2 linked regions of the Caenorhabditis elegans genome follow. The protein of the gene in region 1 interacts with the protein of each later gene in a pairwise test. Each region holds a gene or a part of one and is shown in the gene's direction. Other genes may lie near its edges.

Region 1 (5,536 bases):
TATATTTCAGCGTAATGAGACCCATACCATAATTCACCCAATCTGTCCATTCGGACCATTTTTTACTAATTGGACACTCATCTGGGCGGCAATCTTCGTAATCCTTGTCACATCCCTCGCAGGAATTACCTTTGCAGTGCCGAGTTCTGAAACTTGGGTTACTGTACATTTCCCAATTGTTTGAACCTACCGTATCCTCAGGCTACGATCACAATCGCATCGAGACCATGGATTCCAGGATGTCCAGGATCCAAAAAGATACTCCGGTACATTTGAAGAAATTGCACAAGATTGCTTCTCAACTTTCTGGCCAGAACAAGTGGTACCAATTGGTAAAGGATTATTACACGTTCGTCTTCTTTTTCGGATACCTTCTCTACATTTCGACCATTTTGACCACGTTGACCAACCTCCTGGACGGATGCAATTCCAAATCTGCATCAAAATTTTATTGAATTGGTTTTTATCTTTTTGAATGTAGAACCTTAATTTCTCCGCCTTGTTTCGAACATTCACAGAATATACCATTATTAGATGCACACTTATTAGAGACAACTTGAGAATATAAAATGCTAGAATCATTTAAATTAGCCAACGAATATGAGAAATTGACGAAAACGAAGATATTAAACAAAACCATGACAATCATTTTCTATGAAACTCAGTTCTTACTGAATAAGTGAAATTTCTACACCCATGTTTGTTTCTCTTTTCAGATTTCGACATTCCTTCTCCTTTTCCATCTTTCAGATGTCGCCAGATGGCAGGGTTACTGTAGAAAATTTCACTTTTTGCAGTGTTAGAGTCGCGCTCCATTGCTACGCGTGAGAGATAAGAGACGGCAAAGATCTTTTTTTTTTGTTTCTCGGGCGCTATCATTTTAACTTTTAAAACTAGTAAATCTCATGATTTCTCTTGAAATTTCCATTTATAAATTTTCAAATTTACAGCTAGAATGACGGAAAATAAAGTGAATATCACTGATAACCTGGAAACCTTAAAGGAAGGCGAAATTGTGACAGACGAGAAGACCGGGAAGAAATATCGTGTCAAGAAAAATATTATGCCACATTATTCAGCTGGAGGACCACATGGATTAGGTAATTTTTAAATCAGCTTGCGGTTTTTACCATTTAAATACAATATTTGTTTTCAGGTGATCCAGAAGATCGGACTTTGAGGAAAATCGAGGCAGATGTGATTATTCCGAATAGAATGAATACCCAAATCGAAAGAGTGGATTGCAACGAATCTTATTTAGGTTTGTGAATTATTGAAATCATAAAAATAAAAGCACGATTATATAGAGTTCTATTTCTACAACAATTTCAGGACTCATCACTTGCTTTCGAACCGACGGTGCTGTTTCTGGCTTGAACACGTGTAAACCAGCTCTAGAACTCTTTAATCGATGCAAATATGAAAAGTCTGGTTATTTTAATGTATCTCAAAATAACAAGAACATATTAAGATTCCACGATCCAGCCTTCCGAGCAAAAATGACTGACGAGTACATTGCGGAACGATCGGCAGCTCGAGCTACTGGAATGACATCGCAGCAACGGAAAATTGAAGAGTTTCGGGATTGGAAGAAGACAAATGAGCAAAAGTAGAATTCTTTCTTGTTTTTCATAGTTAATTGTTTCCTTGTTTGTAGAATCAAATACAATCCATTTCTTCTGGTTTTTATACTTTTTATAGTTATTATTGTCAAGTGTTCGAGTCACTATATATTATCTCATATTCTTACCATTTCTTCATTCTAAAAATATTATTTCCAAAAACTCGTTAATTCATGAATTATTCTTTCACTTTACATTTTATTTTTGCCAGAGAATATAATAGTGCAACGACGCTCCGTTGAAAATCGATACGCGCTCTGTTTAGTTGCCAGTAAACTACGAAAACGCTGGTCCGTTAAACTTTATTGATTTTACTCTTTTAACGTTGTACGCAAAATTGAAAATTTTCTGCTAAATAGTTATTTCTGTCTGTTCTATTTCAGATATGGGGTTCGTTATTTTCTTTTTTAATTCTGAATGTGATGTTCGAAGTCGATATGTTTCGCACAAAAATAACTAAAAATTAAATAGTTGCTATTTAAAAAAGTAGGCAGCACCATTTTTTCAAACTAAAGTACTAAATAAATGCTAATTTGGAATTAACTTTTCGACGTGAACTTTTTTTGTCGAATATTATTGATTTTTCCTAATCTCCTTCAGTTCTTCTTTTTCTTTACAGAGAAGAAGTTATGTCAATTCCAGTGCCAATGGAGACAGGAGCAAATTCCGAAGCTTGGAAAAAAGCGAATGAAGCATTAATGAAGGTTTGTAAATATTTCATATGAACAGTTGTTTCAATTTGTAATATTTCAGATTCAAGGTGGAATGTCGAAAGGACTGAATGCATCGAATGGTAACAACAATACAGGTCAGAACTCTTGGATGAACAACTCGTTTTCGTTCCCAAATCCCCCATCCGCTTACGGTCAATTCGGTGGTGGTTTTCATCCATCCACGTGGGGCAGCGGACCGATTGTCCCACCACCACCACCACAACAGTCGGCGGTGAATGCAACTGCTCAAGCAGCTTATAACCAAGCATCTTTTAATTATGCACCACCACCACCACCACAGAATTGGAATAACGGGTACGGAAGAGGGCGTGGCGGAGGAGCCAACAACTGGAATCAGCAACAGAGACCTCAGCAGTTTCAGCCATTTGCCTTGAACAGAAAGAATAATTCGTCCGCATTTCCGCATCTAACTAGCACGTTCGTACCGCAGGGCGGAGGTCCACAGCCATTGATGGGAGTTGGTAGAGGACGCGGTGTTCCAGCTCCAGGACCAGCCAAGCCACCACCTCCATCAGCCCAGTAAGTTTTCAATTAATTATCATCTTTGTTTTTATTGTTGCAAAATTATTCAACATTCTATTTTTTCAGACGGTACATGGAACGTGCTTTCGAGGCGGCGAACACTGTCGAAGATCGTCAAAAAACTCAAGAATACCTTCAGAAGAGACTTTTCCCTATGTTGAACGCAGGCAATGCTCACATGGTCAACTGGGACAATGAACCGTTGCCCCACGAGAAAAATTATGAGCTAGCTCCAGCGTGGACGCCAGCTAATAAGCTTCCACATCAGGCTAATGGATTTAATAGAAAAAAGTCGCCATCGCGACGGCGTAGTGATGAAATGTCTAACAGCGGTGCCGCTGGTGGTGGAGGACAAATGAAACGGGCTCGTCGGGATAGTGATGGGGCATCTTCTGATTCTGACAATAGCGATCCCCTTGAGAAAATGCACTTTTCTTCTATGAATCAGGTTTCGATAAAATTAGATAGGGAACTGGGTGGTGTATTTGGGCACGGAAACTTGAGTAGTTCTGCTGAAATTCATACTTATAATAGATCTTTAAAATTACTAAATGTGACTAATTCCATTCAGAAAAAGACAAAGGCTCAGAAAAAGGCTGAAAAGGCAGCGAGAAAGGCGGCTAAGAAACTGCAGAAACAACAAACTCCGCAAAAAGTCAAGAATGCTTGGAAGGTAGCTGGAGGGGATACTGAGGCTCGGAGGGTAAGTTGGATTAACTGAATTTTTCATTTTCTCGAAGTATTTACAGGAAGATCGTGCTCGTCGTTTTGCCGAAACTTTGTACAATGTTTCGAAGCCATCTGTGAGTGTGCCTCAGCACTATTTCAGACGAGGACAAGTGATTCGTGGAACTTGCCAGAATATTGAGAAATCCTTCTTCAGATTGACAGCTGTAAGTTTATATAGGTTTCATTTTTCAGCATCATTAAACCCAAGCTTATTCCAGGCTCCAAATCCATCGGAGGTTCGGCCACTGGAAGTTTTGCGCCTTTCTCTTCAAAATGTACGTGACAAATATCGTGCGAGAGCAGAGTATTCCTATCTGACAAGTCAAATGAGATCGATTCGCCAAGACTTGACGGTTCAAGTGATTCGCAACGAGTTTACAGTCGAAGTCTATGAAATAAATGCTAGAATTTCGCTTGAAAACGCGGATCGAGAAGAGTTTAACAAGTGCCAGTCGCAGTTGAAACTTCTCTACTCGGAAATTGAGAATTGCGCGAATCAGGCAGAGTTTGTAGCTTATCGTCTGTTGTACTACATTGCTATGGACAATCAAATTGATATCAACGCGCTGCTCCGTGAGCTAACGCCGGAATTGAAGGAGAATGACTGTGTTGAATTTGCATTGAATGTTCGAAAAGCTGTGACTATGAATAATTATGTCAAGTTCTTCAGGCTTTTTAAGGCAAGTTGTGAATTTGACAATTTTTAACTCTTTATAAATTCCAATTTGCAGAATGCTCCACGAATGTGCCCGTACATAATGGATTTATTTGTTGATCGAGAGAGAAAGAAGGCACTCGGAATTATCACAAAAGCTTTCCGACCAACAATCACGTACAAATTGATTGCGGAGTTTCTGAGTATGAAGGAGTCGACACTTATTGATTGGCTCGAGGAGGAACTGAAATGGACTGATGTCGAAGTTGGAGGAACATTTGATCCAAAAATCCCAAGAAACATTTGAATAATTTTTTGTTTTAACAATTTCATCCCATTCTCAATCCCCTCGTCCCGATCCTTGTGTGATACTTCTTCGGTAGCCAACTAACTGTTGATATCCACTTTTTTAATTGTGTTGCTGGTAAAATGTTTAAAAATGCAAAATTAGAATAGAGCTCTATAACATTTATTTGTTTTTGTAACCGTAAAATATGTTTTCCATTGTTGAAACTGAGATTTTCAGGCAGTCATGCGTGTTAAGAATAAAAATGTAAAATAGTAATTAGTGAAGGCATTTGTTTTCATATCCAGGGCAAAATGTGAACAAAGCGGTTTGAAGTCGTTGTGGACGATCTGTCCAAAAGTTGTTGCAGTAGGTATCATATGATTCTCGATGTGTAGCACAGAATTGGGATTCTTGAGAAACTCGGCGCTTTTGTATGGGAAGTGCCACATCGTCACGGAGGCCAATACCAACGAATTCGGTTGAGAGATCATCTAGAAATTTCAAGAATTTAACAATACAATTTCAATTTAAATACCTCGAATTCCAATGAGCGGAAGTGTAACAACTACATTAATCATGACGAAGAATGCTGGAAAAGAAGTTGATCATTTTGTGATTGAATGATGGAAAAGTTACCGATAACAGTGATAAGGAAGGAGTTGGAAGAAGTAGACATCTTTTTAGGATTCTTATTACTTTCTGGACTGTTTTCACACTTTTTATATTTTTTTTTTGATTTGAAGAGATGAAATGAAATGATCCACCCCATTTTGATCGGATGTGAATTTAGATGGAAAACAAAATTTTGTACTTTTTAGTTGAGACACGACCGGTTATGAATGATATTGGAAGAGAAAAGATCGAACATTTGAAGGAAGAGAATTTGTAGAAATGGGTGCAGAATGTACGAAGTTCATGTGAACAATGGAATCGGAATCTTGCAATCTGAAAAATGTTTTTGTTTCTAGAAAATTCCATCACATGT
Region 2 (5,963 bases), on another chromosome or scaffold:
CAGGATGGTGGTTATTCTCAGAGTGGCTCACCGACATGGCCCGGTTATTCTTATACTCAATTTTTAGAGCTTTTCATTTCAAATGTAAGTTTATTTTTAAGTTTCAAAATTATATTTCAAGCCCGACGGGCTCCAGAATGCTGAATTTTGTTCCAGATATTCTTTGGAATTTAACTAGGCTTGTAGTGAAGTCCCGTAAGCTTGTGGCTCTAATAAAAAGGGACCGTAGAGAAGCCCAGATATTTAAAATCTAAAGGGAAACTGTTTGACCAGAAGATTAGAGCCCAGTTGTCTTAGATTAGCCTAGTAAAAGTCCGGAAGCCCAGAACTCTCAAAATAATTACGAGCACCTGTAGCCCACAAGTGCCTAATTTCTGACTGTCAAGCTTGTCGACCCGTACTGTCAAGGAACTTTGTCCAAGCTCAGCTAGGCCCGTTCAAGCCCACATGACTGTAAACGCATTGGGATTAGAAGCCAGGATAGGATATACCATGATCCAATGCACCATGACCCCACGGAACCAGATAGTGCCTCCATTTACCATAATGTACAAAAAAAATTCAGCCTTCTGATGGTCCCGTCATACTTTTAGGCAAGCTTGGGCTCTCAAATGAGCACAAAATCCCAAAATCCCACTTTGTTTTCAACTCATTAGACGTTGAAAAAATGGAAAAATCAAGCTTCCTCCATTAAAAACCAATTCCAAAAAGGCGACTCCAAATTGAATTAGCTTTGCGCAGAGAGCATGCAGAGGAAGTCGTTCAGATGAATAGTGGTCAATATAAAGGAAGCGGGGATAATAATTATCGGATACTTTTCAACTACTACCGCTTGTTAGTGTTCGGCTAGTAATAGAAGTGCCAAAAAATCGTCGAGTGGAATTATAGCGTGTTAGGTCGTAAGGGGTAGAAACTCAAAGAAGGTGGATTCCTTTTAAAAAAAACCTTAAAATCTTGTTAGATCGGAGTAGCTTCATCTTAGGTTGGAGTAAAAATTCCACATTCTCAGGCCGGACTAGAAACCCCATAGGTCGAACTAGAAGCCTAATAGGTCGGACAAGGACTCTGCGGAGTATAACCCCCTAGTTCGGTAAAGAATAATCTTAGGTCAAAACAGTATCACTTTAGGTCGGAGTAGAATCCGCTTAGGTCAAAGTAAAATCTCGAAATCTTAGATCGGAGTAGAATTCTAAAATCTCAGGTCGGGGTAAAGTTTTTTAGGCCGGGGCAGAGTCTCAAACTTTTAGGTTTAGGGAGAACCCCTTGGGGTTGAAGTAAAATTTCATTAGGTCAAAGTAGGCTCCCTTTAGGCCGGTGTAGATCCTAGAGCTCCTAGATCGGAGTAGATTTCTAAAGTCTTAGGTCGGAGTAGAACCTCAAAAGTTAGATCGGAATAGGACCCTAAAAACATTAGATCGGAGTAGATTTCTAAAATCTTGGGCCGGAGTAAAGTTCTTTTGGATCGGAGCAGAGCGTCCTTGGGTTGAAGTAGAATCTCATTAGGTCAAGGAAGGGCCTAGAGTAGATCCTAGAACTCCTAGATCGGAGTAGATTTCTAAAGTCTTAGGTCGGACTAGAACCCCGTTAAGTCAAAGTAAAACCCTATTAGGTCGGATCAAAACCATTCAGGTCTACTTAGCACCTATAGGTCAGTGTAGAACACCCATAGGTCGGAGTAAAACCCCCAATTTCGTAGTTAAAGTAATTATCGTATACTTTTCAACTGTGCAACAAAGAGGGAACAAAAATGCGAAAAACTTTTGATTTGGTGTGAAAGTATACCCATTGACACACACACACATGAAGCTCCCGGAATTGGGGTCCCTCCTCTCTTTTTCTTCGTCCTCTTCCACTCTCTCTCTCTACCATTCCCACCCCATTTTTTTTCTTAAAAACGAGCGAGGCATCTTCTTATTCCTCACAGAGCCCCCCGACGCCTTTCTCTAGAAAAGACGGGAAGAAAACGACAATTGGATTATCCGGTGTCCCCCGACGGCTCTTTTCCACCCTATTCCAACAAACACACACACACACACACCCAGTTCTCCACACATATCATCATCATCATCATCATCATCATCACCCCGAAACTAGTGTTTTACTAAAAAAATGAGCCATTGTGCGGCTTGCTCTGGCGCCAGGCTTCAGGCCCAGACTGTGCTTAGGGTGGACCCGGAGTCTGAGTATTTTGAGTGTGAAGCTTCTGCGGTGAGTGATTTGGGCTTTCTAGGTTCTAAGCCTAGTCAAGCCCGGCTTTTTTATCCTCTTGGTTTGAGTCTACCAAGCCTAGCTAAACCCGGATCCTTGATCCATCCGTTCTTGGAAACCAATAATTCGAATTAGATTTCCCATTGACTAGCCTAGACTTATGAAGCCTATCATTGTTGAGCTAAACTAGGCCCGGTACCTTGAAACTTCCCGCCTAGTCTGAAACGACAACTGACTGGACCGGGCCCTTTTCAGCTTAGCCTGAATCATATTTATCCAAGTATTTGCCCATTTAGGCCCGAATTTTTGGTCCGATCAGCTTATCTTATTCCTTATTCCAAATCAGGGCTCTTTTCACAACAGTTTGCTCAGCTAGGCCATATAAGCCAGAGCCGTCAAATTTTCTAATGACTAGCCGGGATCCTTGATCCTTTCAACTCAGCCAAACTTTGATCGGAACCCTGCCCTCCCCTTGATTACCCCTAAAACCTCAAAATTTCCAGATGGAAGGTGGCTCAGGATGGACAGAATCATTGGAGAAAGACTTCGACAAAGCATTCGTCTCACTGGATCTCCTGCTAGGAGAAGTCGACTCGGACCAGGTAAGAGCTTAGAACTTCAGGCCACCTGATCAAGCCCAGGTCCACAAAATCCTAACGTATCCAGGTTGAGATCACCTACGAGGGCCGGCAGAAGATGACGTCATTGAGCGCCTGCTTTGCACAAATGATGCACAAGTGTCAGTTCATGATGCACACAATTAGTAAACAGGAGAAGGTGAGTTTAGGCTTGCTGAAAAAAGTTGGATTGTTAATTTTTTCAGGAAATGATAACAATGCGCGCCGAGGTCGTGGAAGCCCGCGCCGCTCGACAGAGCATGGAGAAGGAAGTGGAGCAGTTGATGATCCAAGTTCACTCATTACAATGCCAACTGCATTCCAAGACGGCGCCGCATGAGTCAGACATGATTAAGAAGAAGCTGGAGACCCAGCTGACACAGTTTCGATCAGAGCTTACACAGGGTTTGAGCACGGTTTGTGAGCTGGAAATTGCAAGAAAGGAGTGTGATCGGTCAAAACGGACGATTCAGGCCTTGGAGACTGAGGTCTTCGGGGCCAGGCTGGCGGCAAAGTACCTGGATAAGGTAGGCCATCGGGCTTTAAGGCTTTAAGGCTTCAAGGCTTTACATACCCTAATCTTCCAGGAACTCGCAGGCCGGATACAACAAATCCAGCTCCTGGGACGAAACATGCGCGGCGTGGAGCACGACAGGCTCTGGAACCAGCTGGAAGCCGAAATTCACCTCCACAGGCACAAGACAGTGATCCGGGCTTGCAGGTAGGCGGTCACGTTTCCCATGGCCGCTCCCCACTTGAACAATTTGCCATTCTTGCAGAGGACGGGGTAACACGAAGGGATTAACGGCGCCACTTCGTCACAACTTCAAGAGCCTCCGAAAACGAAATGGAGTGGGAAAGAGCAGGAAAGTGGTGCTCTCGAAACACCCGCACGAAGGGCTCGGCATTTCTATTACGGTAGGTGGGGGGACTTGGATGGTTTTGGGCCAGTAGATCATTGACTAGACTTGTTCCTTTGGGGATCCACGGGATCCTGTAAGATCTGAGAGTTGATCCAGTTCCCGTAAGACCAAATGTGCCATCTGATTATGAGGTACTTTTGCACGTGGTGTCAGGCTGTCCCATTGCGGTTTGATCTACAAAAAATGCGGGAATTTTTCTCCCAGTCAGTTGAAAAGTCTGCGTCTCTTTTCCCGCATTTTTTGTAGATCAATGTAGATCAATCTAAAATGAGACACTCTGACAACCCCTGCTTTTGTAGTTCTGCTGCATAGCTCAAAACTACTCCAGATAGTTTGCGGAGCTCCGGATGGATCCTAGTTCTTCAAGATCTTAAAAAATCCTACTGGATCCTAAAATCCATTTCCAGGGAGGATCCGAACACGCTCTACCCATAGTGATATCTGAAATCCAGCCGGGACAGCCTGCTGACCGATGTGGACAGGTCTTTGTGGGCGACGCGATTCTCTCAGTAAACGGCTACGATCTTCGGACTGTCAAGCATCAGGAGGCAGTGGATATTTTGAGTGGGCAGGTAAGATGCTGCCAGGGGCCCTCCACCTACATCCCCTCCAAATTCCAGGTACAGCAAGGCGACCTAGACCTGGAGCTCGTCTTTGTGTGCCCCGATGAGGATAGTGATGATGATGGGACGGTGACGATCGAGCACAGCGATGGATCTATGTGAGTTATTGGGAATTTTTCGGCGGGAAATTTGAATTTCCAGTTAGTTTTTAGCGGGAAATTTAAATATTCAATCGATTTTCAGCTGGAAATTTTGATTTTCTGTTAATTTTTGGCGGGATTTTCATATTGCCAGTTAATTTTAGGCGGGATTTTTAAATTTCCAATTGATTTTGAGCTAGAAATTCAAGTTATAAGTCAGTTTTAGGGAGGAAATTCAAATTCTCAGTTAACATTTAACTGGAAATTTAATTTTTTAGTTAATTTTTCAACTGGAAAATCAAAATTTTGGTCATTTTTCAATAGAAAATTCAAATTTTTTGTCGTTTTACTATAGGAAATTCAAATTTTTAGTCAATTTGCGACAAAAAATTCTAAATTTTCTGTCTATTTTCGGCAAGAAATTCAATTTTTCAGCCTATTTTTTGGGGGAAATTCAACTTTTTAATGAATTTTTCGGCGGGGAATTCCAATTTTTTGTCGTTTTTCTATAGGAAATTCAACCTTTTAGTTAATTTTTCGACGGGAAATTCAAATTTTCGGCCAAATTTCAACAGAAAATTCGAATTCCCAGTCAAATTTTTAAATTTTTGTTTTAGCTACAACCTCTACAGTATGGAAGAGCCCACGTCAAGCCGATCGTCCAACAATTCTGATGAATCACGCAGCACGTGACCTCCAAAATGTGGAATTTTTTGACGGGTTTTATTTAATTTTTTTTTCAAAAAAAAAACTTTTTTTTGTATATTTTCCCGTGACTTTCCTCCTCCCCCTAATTGCCACGTCATTTCCTCCAACTCATTGGATTTTTTTTTGGCTTTTTCCAACTTTTTGCATAAAAATCTTTTATTGTTTGAGTTTATCGATTTTTCTTCCGCAAAAAAATCAATAAATGACGTGTCAACAAATCAATCGTCTTACTGCTGTCTTCAATACGGCAATGTCCAAGGCGCTGGCTTCCGATGAGAAGGACGACTGGATTACCCATTTGAAGGCAATTTCGAATGTTTTTACGCAGGTAATATGATCTTCCGGTCGGGCGGGAATTTGAAAATTCTGGGAGAAATATTGATTTTTTGGAAAAATGTCAGTTTTCCGGCAAATGTCATTCAAAAAATTATTGATTTTTCGTCGCACTCCAACGACACTCCGATATTCCGCTGACTAAAAGTAGGCGTGGTCAGGCGGGAATTTAAAAATTTCGCTTTGAAAATCAGTAAGAAATCATCGATTTTTGTGAAAATTGTTAGCTATCCGGCTCGAAATATCGAAAAACGGTTTGAATTTTGTTTAGTATAAAGTTTCTTTAAAATCCCGGTCGGGCGGTAGTTTAAAAATTTTAGAAAAAATCGATAATGTATCGACTTTTCGGTATCCCGGTACAAAACTGTGGCGGGAATTTGAAAAGTTTCCAATAGTTACTTCAAAACTCCTTTTTCTCGGTTATTGAAAACTTGGCAATGACGAGAAAAATCGATAATTTATTAATTTATC

The links.
Region 2: the proteins of hpo-10 (region 1) and gopc-1 interact in a two-hybrid assay, tested with the Caenorhabditis elegans proteins (one large-scale study listed by BioGRID).

Annotation. Positions count from the first base shown.
Region 1 is NC_003281.10:5,877,604-5,883,139, forward strand, and holds hpo-10 (SAC3/GANP/THP3 conserved domain-containing protein), read left to right. Parts: upstream 1-1,902; 5' UTR 1,903-2,007; coding exon 2,008-2,012; intron 2,013-2,222; exon of another isoform or gene 2,223-2,241; coding exon 2,242-2,326; intron 2,327-2,375; coding exon 2,376-2,875; intron 2,876-2,944; coding exon 2,945-3,326; intron 3,327-3,449; coding exon 3,450-3,581; intron 3,582-3,627; coding exon 3,628-3,771; intron 3,772-3,825; coding exon 3,826-4,287; intron 4,288-4,338; coding exon 4,339-4,569; 3' UTR 4,570-4,827; downstream 4,828-5,536. Other genes in the region: mig-21 (Abnormal cell migration protein 21), read right to left, coding at 28-146, 191-435, 485-649; F01F1.2 (COX assembly mitochondrial protein), read left to right, coding at 956-1,100, 1,157-1,261, 1,333-1,426, 1,472-1,613; F01F1.14 (uncharacterized protein), read right to left, coding at 4,828-5,042, 5,087-5,140, 5,188-5,320.
Region 2 is NC_003279.8:14,185,042-14,191,004, reverse strand, and holds gopc-1 (Golgi-associated PDZ and coiled-coil motif-containing protein), read left to right. Parts: upstream 1-2,037; 5' UTR 2,038-2,109; coding exon 2,110-2,208; intron 2,209-2,711; coding exon 2,712-2,810; intron 2,811-2,874; coding exon 2,875-2,985; intron 2,986-3,031; coding exon 3,032-3,352; intron 3,353-3,412; coding exon 3,413-3,546; intron 3,547-3,604; coding exon 3,605-3,743; intron 3,744-4,155; coding exon 4,156-4,320; intron 4,321-4,368; coding exon 4,369-4,469; intron 4,470-5,068; coding exon 5,069-5,144; 3' UTR 5,145-5,377; downstream 5,378-5,963. Other genes in the region: ZK849.1 (PDZ domain-containing protein), read left to right, coding at 5,410-5,487.